Linked DNA regions of Oryctolagus cuniculus. The protein of the gene in region 2 interacts with the protein of the main gene of each other region in a pairwise test. Links are inferred from orthologs where the notes say so. Each region holds a gene or a part of one and is shown on either strand. Other genes may lie near its edges. The genes, in order: TOX4 and ZMYND19.

What was found.
Region 1: the proteins of ZMYND19 (region 2) and TOX4 interact in binary tests that used the Homo sapiens proteins (3 or more experiments, as listed by UniProt). The two-hybrid records come from large-scale screens. The link is inferred for Oryctolagus cuniculus from reciprocal best matches to the Homo sapiens genes ZMYND19 and TOX4.

The regions. Positions count from the first base shown.
Region 1 is NC_091443.1:53,460,001-53,464,449, reverse strand, and holds the start of TOX4 (TOX high mobility group box family member 4), read left to right. Parts: upstream 1-1,418; 5' UTR 1,419-1,544; coding exon 1,545-1,550; intron 1,551-1,756; coding exon 1,757-1,825; intron 1,826-4,449. Other genes in the region: RAB2B (ras-related protein Rab-2B), read right to left, coding at 783-854, 1,096-1,141. UniProt on the Homo sapiens protein: Transcription factor that modulates cell fate reprogramming from the somatic state to the pluripotent and neuronal fate. In liver, controls the expression of hormone-regulated gluconeogenic genes such as G6PC1 and PCK1.
Region 2 is NC_091432.1:237,721,918-237,726,409, forward strand, and holds the start of ZMYND19 (zinc finger MYND domain-containing protein 19), read right to left. Parts: upstream 3,052-4,492; 5' UTR 2,834-3,051; coding exon 2,783-2,833; intron 2,456-2,782; exon of another isoform or gene 2,108-2,455; intron 1,682-2,107; coding exon 1,622-1,681; intron 726-1,621; coding exon 619-725; intron 95-618; coding exon 1-94. UniProt on the Homo sapiens protein: May be involved as a regulatory molecule in GPR24/MCH-R1 signaling.

The DNA.
Region 1 (4,449 bases), on a different chromosome or scaffold from region 2:
TTGGGTGAGGGTTATGTAAATCAGAAGGAAGGGTCTGTTAAAGTGCCTTCAGACCATAACTTGCCACAAACTGCCTTTTATTTCTTTTTAGAGAGTGATCGCCCATCCACTGGTTCACTCCCAAAATGGCATTAACAGCCAAAGCTGGGCCAGGCTGAACCAGGAGCCTAGAACCCCGTCCGGGTCTCCAGAGAAAGTGGCAGGGGCATAAGTACATGGGCCATCCTGCGGGGCTTTCCCAGGCCCATTAGCAGGGAGCTGGATCGGAAGTAAAGCAGCTGGGACGTAAACCATTGCCCCTATGGGAAGCCAGCGTCACAGGTGGCGGCTTAGCCCACTGCGCAACAACGCCCATCATCTGCCTTTTAATTGTTAGGCTGGGATGGCTCTTCGCTTCGCTTGGTCCTCTCCACCACACACACACACACACACACACAATCCAAGTACTGGTGTTGACTCTGAAACACACAGTATGAGGCTGGCACTCATATATCGCAAATCTGAGATGCGCTTTTGAATAACGCTGCTCGGCTTCCGCTGGATTTCCCATAAACATTTACACCCTATGGGAATCGGTCCGTACCTCGCACATCTCTGGACTTCCCTTCACAATTATTTATTCCTCTTTACACCACTCTTCACTGAACCTAACTTCGCACTAGTTTTAAGCGGTGAGAGGCAACTTTTGACTTGAGGACACGGAAGACAGCTGAGCTTTCCACCTGGGCAGTTCAGCGAGCCAAGGCTTTATGATCGGTTCTGGAACAAACAGCTGCACTTACCTATTGTGAGGTCGTGGACTGGCTGGAACCGCTTGTCTGTAAACTGCAGGAGGAGACATGACTTCCCCACACCTGAAAGGGGAGGACGTGCGTGCCAGGAGCCCCGCGGCCCAGAAACACCTCCCGGAGTCCGGGCGTCAGGGACGCGGGAAGGGGCGCCCCGAGCCCGAGCCCCGCCCCCGGCCGCCCCGCCCCGCCCCCGCCCGTTCCTCGCGAATCGCCCAACCCACTGAGCGAGCCCCGCCCCCGCGGCCCGATTTGGGAGCTTCGGGTGCCCGCCTCAGCCTTCGAAGGCGGCCCGCTCGCGGATTACCTGTGTCCCCGATGATGATGTACTTGAAGAGATAAGCATAAGTCATGGTCCCGATTCCTCCGGATTCCGGGTCCGCCCGACTTCTACATCCACTTGCCTCCGACCTCTCTAGCCACTCAGTCTAGCGATCTCCTTGTTTTTCCCTCTCCGGCCCCTCTAGCCAGATCACGTCTCTACTGCTCTCCCCAGAAATCCACAGCCGGACCGATGCAGTCAACGCCGCCTCCAGGGACGCCTCTAGCACCTCTACATGCCATTATCCCACCACGCTCCAGGGGGCGATATCTACCTTTTCCATCTGCTCGGCGCCTGACTCGCAGCCCCACGACGCTCCTTCCAGTCAGCGGAGAGCGACGCACTTCCTTGCGGAAGTGACGGCAGTTCCGAGGCCAGTGGGGGCGGTGGGAGCAATGAGGGGTCTGAGACGGTGGTAGAAAAGTGGTGTGAAGATGGAGGTAGGAGCCCGGGCGCTAAGAAGGCTTGGCGAGAGAGCGCCGCCGATCGGGTTGCAGCAGAGGCGGGAAGGGAGAGGCGGCTGACGGGAGAGGAGAGACAGCCGGGATTGGGGAGTGCTGTCAGAATGTCGGGATCGGAATCCGGGGCTCCAAGCGAAGTCCGTGCTCCCCCTAACTTATCACCGCGGCTTTCTTTTGGTTTCCAGTTTCCCGGAGGAAATGACAATTACCTGACGATCACAGGACCCTCGCACCCCTTCCTGTCAGGCGCCGAGGTGAGCAAGAGCCGCCGACGCTGCGGGAGGGGTGGGCCTGCGGCGGTGGGGCGGTGGGGAAGGGCGTGCGGACGCTGGGAGACCCCGGCTGGGACCCGGGGGGCGCGGTTGGTGTTCGGGGGGAAGTGGCAGCTGCTTCTAGAGCCTATCAGGACTGCCCGGGGAAGTCCTGGGGAAGCTGCTGTCACCAGAAAACCAGGGCGCTGGAAAGCGAGAACCGGCTTAAGGAGGAGAGTGAGTCCGGGTGGGGAGATGGGGGGGGGCTGTCTCCTTTTTGTGGGAGAAATACCCACGACGATCCTGGGGGATCACAATGGGAAGCAGAATTTTCAGCAGCTAACGAAGTCGGGTGAGGGGAGAAGCTCACCTAGCAGGGACTTAGCCAGGGGCCTGTGTTCACGAGCTGTGCTGAAGGGTGCGGTGGCGTTTTTGTTATTTAACTTTTCTACTGTGATAAAAAGTTAGTTACTTTTACCAACAAGGTATCAGCTTGCTTTGCTAGAGAACTTGTGCGTGCACGCGCGCGCGCCCCTGAGGACATTGTGCATTACTTCACCTGGGTATGTCACAGTTTCCTCAGCTGTCCCATAGCTGTAATAATAGTTTCTTATGATGTTGTAAAGTAAAAGTAATGCTTCTGGTGAGGTCCTAAAGGGTTGGTGAAAACGTTTGGGTTGAAATATTGCCATACTGTAGATATGTATCAGTTGCTTAGGCCAGACCAAAAAAAAAAAAGGGTCGGGGGCGAGAACGAAAAAAAACTTCCCAGACTTTGAGGGGGAACTATGAAGCAAACCTTCTACCATCTTTTGAAGTTCTTAATTTTTTAATTTTTTTTTCAAAAGTGGTGTAGACTTTTTTTTTTTTTTTGCTACTAAGAATTCTCAGTTGTTAAATGACTTTATCCTATAATAAATCCTGATATTTTCATGGATAAAAATTAGATTGGCCAGAGACAGTTGCTGACTCTTTAATTTCTTTGTTACTATTTTTACTATGCCAGGGGGACATGTAAATCAAATGTGCAATAGATATAAGAATGACAGAGTACTATCTGGTGCCTTTAAAGTTTTGGTACAAGTTTCCCATAAATGAGGGTCTCCTTGGTTTAATTTCATTATTTGGAGTCTTGTAAATCTCACATTAGCCTCAACTATATGAGTGTATTATTGCCAATCTCTTCTCAATCAGGTCTCCACAGTTTAAATTTGTTGTAAAGGTCACATTAGCTTCATTCATGAGAAAGCAGATGGTAAAATTAAATACAAATAGTTTTTTCTTTTTTAAAGATTTATTTATCTTTATTTGAAAGTCAGAGTTACAGAGAGAGGAGAGGCACAGAGACAGGTCTTCCATCCAATGGTTCATTCCCCAGATGGCCGCAATGGCCAGAGATGCACCGATCTGAAGCCAGGAGCCAAGAACTTCTGGGTCTCCCACACGGGTGGAGGAGCCCAAGGACTTGGGCCATCTTCTACTGCTTCCCCAGGCCATAGCAGAGAGCTGGATTGGAAGAAGAGCAGCTGGGACTAGAACCGGCACCCATATGGGATGCCTGTGCCTCAGGCCAGGGTGTTAAATGTATTGATTGTGCTTTATCCTTTAATCCTTTTATGAAGTTGAGCAAGCAGGAGGTAACTTCCTAAAGATGACTTTTTTTTTTTTTTTTAAAGATTTATTTATTTATTTGAAAGGCAGAGTTAGAGAGAAAAGGAGAGACAGAAGTCTTCTATTTGCTGGTTCACTCCCCAAATGGCTGCAATGGCCAGGGCTGGGCCAAGCCAGAGCCAGGAGCCAAGAGCTTCTTCCAGGTCTCCCACGTGGGTACAGGGGCCCAAGCACTTGGGCCATTTTCCACTGCCTTCCTAGGCACAAGAGCAGGGAGCTGGATTGGAAGCAGAGCACTGGAACTCAAACTGGGTACCCATATGAGATGCTGGCACTGCAGGCTTCAGCTTTACCTGCTACGCCACAGCATTGGTCCCTATCAAGAAACTTTACAGGATGGAGCCATGTCCAAGTGTTTTGGGGCTGGCACTTTGGCACAGCGGGTTAACACCCTGACCTGCAGCGCCAGCATCCCATATGGGTGCCAGTTCTAGTCCCGGCTGCTGTGGCCTGGGAAAGCAGTAAAAGATGGCCCAAGTCCTTGGGCCCCTGCACCCATGTGGGAGACCTGGAAGAAGCTCCTGGATCCTGGCTTCAGATTGGTAGAGCTCCGCCCGTTGCGGCCATCTGGGGAGTGAACCATCGGATGGAAGACCTCTCTCTCTCTCTGCCTCTGCCTCTCCTCTCCTCTCTCTGTGTAACTCTGACTTTCAAATAAATAATCTTTTTTAAAAAAGAAATTAAGTGTTTTTTTCTTCTTAAGAAGCTTATAGCTAAGTTTTAGTCTCAATTTAGCTAACTTAGCTAACTTACCATAGGCTTTCTATCATTGTTAACAGTTCTGCTTTTTCTCTTTATAACTTTACACTTTCCCTTCCCATCTTTGGCAGTGTTGTTTGGTTTTTAACCTTTAATTAGTGTGTGGTTTTTGTTGTACCCAGGTGTTTTGTTTTGTTTTGTTTTTGTTTTTAAGATTTATTTATTTATTTGCAAGGCACAGTTCCAGAGAGAGATAG
Region 2 (4,492 bases):
CACCAGCTGCAGGTTGTCCAGGCGGTTGTCCACGGTCACAGCGTTGAGATGCACCACCTGGAACCCGGGGGCCACACCGCCCCGGTGCCGCTCCCTAGGGAACAACCTTCTGGTTACAGCGTGTCTGGCTCAGCACCAGAGTCCAGCTGGAAAGCTATCCAGGGGAACCCAAGCGAGGATGCCTGTGGCTCCAACAGGACAGGGACTGCCTGACATCCAAAATCTAAGAGCTGGACCCACAGAGCCAAGAACGATACCCCGAACCAGACCCAGACAGCCTACAAACAGTTCCTCAGCGAGAGGTCCCAGACACCAGCATCCCATCATGCACACCGAGGCGGCAGTTAACTTCCCCAGTGAGCTGCCCCTTCACACCCCGCCGAGGCGCCCCAGGAGAGCCGGGGCAGAGCGCAGGACCCCCCCCCCCCCCCCCCGCAGAGCCTGTCCTGGGGCGTGAGGCGCTTTGTCTGTGGACGGAGTGCTGGGCAAAGCGGAAGGCAGTCGTCCACATTCCTGTACCACAGGAGGCACCAGGCACAGACAACGGGCCACTGACTCGGGGAAGGTGAGGGTCACACAGGGCCGAGGGGGAGACCAGCACAGCGCGAGAACACCCACCACAGCAGCTCGTGAAGGAGCCTGCCCGATCCCCTGCCTCGGTTCTTGTCAAAGGCGTATGCGAATATCTTAGCACCATTTCCGTCTGCATCTACTTCCATGCGGGCCTGAAAAGAACAAGGAAAGGATTGGTAAAATCCTCCAATTTCCAGATCCCTCTTAGAATAATCGAATGAAACAAAAAAGCCGGAAGACAGGGCCCAGCCCGTTTCTGGGACCTGGGTGTCTGTGGATGCAGAGGCCAGCTATGCCCCCTCAACCACTCCACCTTTCACTCACACAAGAAACGCTCACACTAGCGGCCGGCACTGTGCGTGGCAAGTTCAACCACCACCTGTGGGGCCAGTATCCCATAGAAGCGCAGATTCTAGTCCTGGCTGGTCTACTTCTGATCCAGCTCCCTGCTAATGGCCTGGGGAAGTAGCAGAAGATGGCCCAAGTGCTTGGGTCCCTGCACCCACGTGGGAGACCCACAAGAAGCTCCTGGCTTCAGCCTGGCCCAGAGGATGGAGGATCTGTCTCTGTCTCTCCCTTTCTAATGCTGCCTTTCAAATAAATTTTAAATAACCTTAAAAAAAACCCTCACTCATAAGCAATTATTTGTGAAGTTCTATGGGCGCAGAGACAATTTCCCACCAATAAAAACCCCCCACGATCCCGTGAGAAAGGGACACCCTGGAGAAGGAGCTCCTGCAGAACTGTGGGGCCCTGTGGCCAGAGCACCAGGGACCACTCGCAGAGGTCGGAGGCAAGTTCCTTACAGAGCACCTGGGACCGTGGAGAGGACTGGGTAAGCTGCACTAGGGACACCTGTCAGCAACAGGACAAAAGTTGATTTAACAGCAGCCAGCGACCAGGGAGGGTGCAGGTCGGCCAAGGCCAGCGTCAGAAAGGCCACGGAGACTCCACCGGCTGGCACCAGACATCCACGTGCCGGGCCTCTTGGACCCAAGCACCTGCACTCCGCTCGGCCCTCCCGGGAACACCCCATCTGCGCCCTTACCTCGAAGGAGTAGCTCTCCACCAGTGGGATGTCTTGCTCATCTATCAGCGTGTACTTGGTCTGCAAATCAACCACATTACAGAGCGTTACACTTGGGGTCTGCGCCTCATTACAGCCAGGGGGCCTGGCTCTGCAGCACTGCGTGTGCGGCAGACACAGCAAAGCCACAGGAGGAGGCACCTGGCTTCAAAGGCCTCCCACACAAGACCGCCCCCGATAAAGCTGGCCAGACCTAGTGGGCTGCCCTGGAGCAGGGGCAGAGTACACACCAGGTTTCAATTTGTCTGTTAAGCTGGGCAAGGGGTGCACAGGTGCTCGCCCAATCACCCTTTTCCAGTTCAGTCTGCCTGGAATGTTCCGGATGAAAGATTTGGGGACGTTAATGCAGCCTGGAGAGGGCCAGAGCTCCAGGGGAGAGCCCGGGACACCCCCAACAACACCAGCCTCACTCCTGCGAGATCTCTCCTAGGATCGGAGCTGTTTTACCTTCACTTGAATGCAGACTGCCTCTCAGTCCCTGGATATAGGGACCAGGCTTCCATCAGGGTAAGGCCCAGGCTGCTGCAAGGCGGAAACAGCCAAGCCTCCAGGCCCACTGGTGCCAGAGGCCTCGCCTGCAGCCTGTGGAGGGCGGAGGCCGGGCTAGGGGAGAGAAGTCGAGGGAGCCCTCGAGTTCACCAACACCGGGGTTCCGGCTTCCTTGTCCTGCGCTGGGGAAGCCCACGCTCAGTGCAAGCTCAGAGGCCCCCATCAGACCCCCTAGCAAGAAGGACTGAGGTGGCGCTGCCCTGGAAGGGGCGCCGTGTTCAAACCGCGCGGCCGCAGGTGCAGCCCTGGCGCCGGGCTGGGCCCAGTTCGGAAGCCCCACATGGGAGAGCGCCAGACGAACGCGGCCCGGGCACGGGCGCGCATCTCCGGCCCTGGTCCTAGACCGGGCCCCGGCGAAGGCGGCAAGGGGCGCGCCCCACCGACTTCAAGAGGCGGCCTGCACCGGAGCGAGGCCCCGCAGCCGGGCCCGCGCAGCGCCCCCGCCCCGCCGGCGCCCCTCCGGGGCCGGCGCCCCCGCCCTGGCCGCAGCCCGCACAACCGCCCCCGCCCCGGGCCCCGCGCAGAGGCCAGGGCGGGCGGGCCGGGCCCAGCCGCGGGCTCCGCGCCGCTCACCTTCCCGGCCACCCGGCCGAGCCGCACGATGCCCAATTTGAAGTCGGTCATGGCCGGGCCTGCGCTCTCGGCCGGCAGCGCCGCTCCCTCGGGAGACACCGGGCCGAGGCGAGGCCACGGCGCGCCCGGGCGGGCCGGGGTCGGGGCCGGGGCCGGGCGGGCTCCGGGCGGGACGAGGCTGGGCCGGGCTCGGGCCGCCGCCGCCGTCGCCGCCACCTCGCGCCCGCCGGACCTGCCACGCGCCGCCGCCGCCGCCGTCGCCGCCGCGCGCACCACCGCGAGCCGAGCCGAGGGGCGGGGCGCGGCGCGGGACACACCCCCCGGCCCGCCGCTGCCCAGCCAATCGCGAGGCGCGCCGTGCGCCGGCTGGCGCGCGCCGCCGCGCAGCGACCAATGGGGGAGAGGAGAGTGCGCCGGCGCGCTGGGGAGCGGGGCGAGCGCGGGGGAGGGGTGCGGCCGGGGGCGGCGCCTGCGCGGCGGGCCCGGCTCCGACGTCAGTTTCGCGGGAAGCTTTGTGCGGGCAGCTACGCCTCGCCCGGGCGGTCCCCGCTGTGTGGCGTCCACGTGGGTCCGCTTCGCCGTCGTCTCCCCCGGCCGGGCGACCTGCTGCGAGCCTCTGAGGAACCAGCCTGAGGAGGCCTCCGCGCCCAGCCCCCCGGAGCCCGAAGGTGCCGGCCACCCGGGCCTGGACCGCCCCGCGGCCCCGCGGGGAGGCCCGGGTCGCGGCTCCCGGACTCAGATGGGGCGCGGCCCCAGTGGTGAGGGGCGGCTGGAACGGCGCGGCCGGGGCCGCCCGCGGCGTGTCCTCCGGAAAGCCTCGGCCTCTCGGGGCGGGGTCGAGCTGGGCGGCCACGGCGGCGCGTGTCCGGCTGAGGAGCCGGCGGGGACCCCGGGCATTGAGGGGTCTGCAGAGGCCACCCCGCGGAGCCCCCTTTCCCGTGTGCCGGGCTCTGCTTTGCAGGCTGTTTTCTCAGAAAACCTCGTGACATCTGGGTCCCTGTGCCTCAACCTGCCAGGGGCGAGAGGCTGGGAGGCAGGGCCACCAGTCCAGCCTTGCAGGGGGGCAATGTGGGGATCTCTGCCCGCATCGTCTATGTGTGGCTCTGCCGGACCAGGCGCTGCAGGCGGCCCGGTGGCGCGGGGTGTGCGTGGGTCGCCCGTCCTTTCCGCCCAGGTGCGCAGTCAGCATCCAGGGAGGGCGAAGGGTCGTTCCTCCGCCCCAGCCCGGCAGCGGCCCCGGGGAGGGTCTCCCTGTGTGCCAAGCCGCCGCCTCTGCATGGCCTGGGGAGTTACCTGCGAGAGTGAGCCTTCCTAGGAAGCCGCCACAGATACAGTGGCATGAGACAGTGCAGCTCTTGGTGAGGTGTGGTGAACTTGGGTGGTTTCTTTTCTCCAAGTCTCAAGAGCAGTCGAGGATGGGGGGGAGTCATCACGGTGCTGGCAAAACTCAGTCCCACGTGGTTGTGTGAGGGCCCGTTGCCAGCCACCAGCAGGGGCCATTCTCGGCTTCTGCAGGGCGTCCTCGTCGGCCGGGCCCCCACCCCTTCCTAGCAGGGTCCTCTTCATACGTCCCACAGTTTCGCCCCGTTTCTCCCGTTCTGTGTTTTTAGGGAATCCTGTGACTAGATGGGCTCTGCCAGGAAGCTCCTAGACAGCCTCCCTGTTTTAAGGTCATTAGTTGGTAACAGGAGTATTTGGCAAAGAAACAGC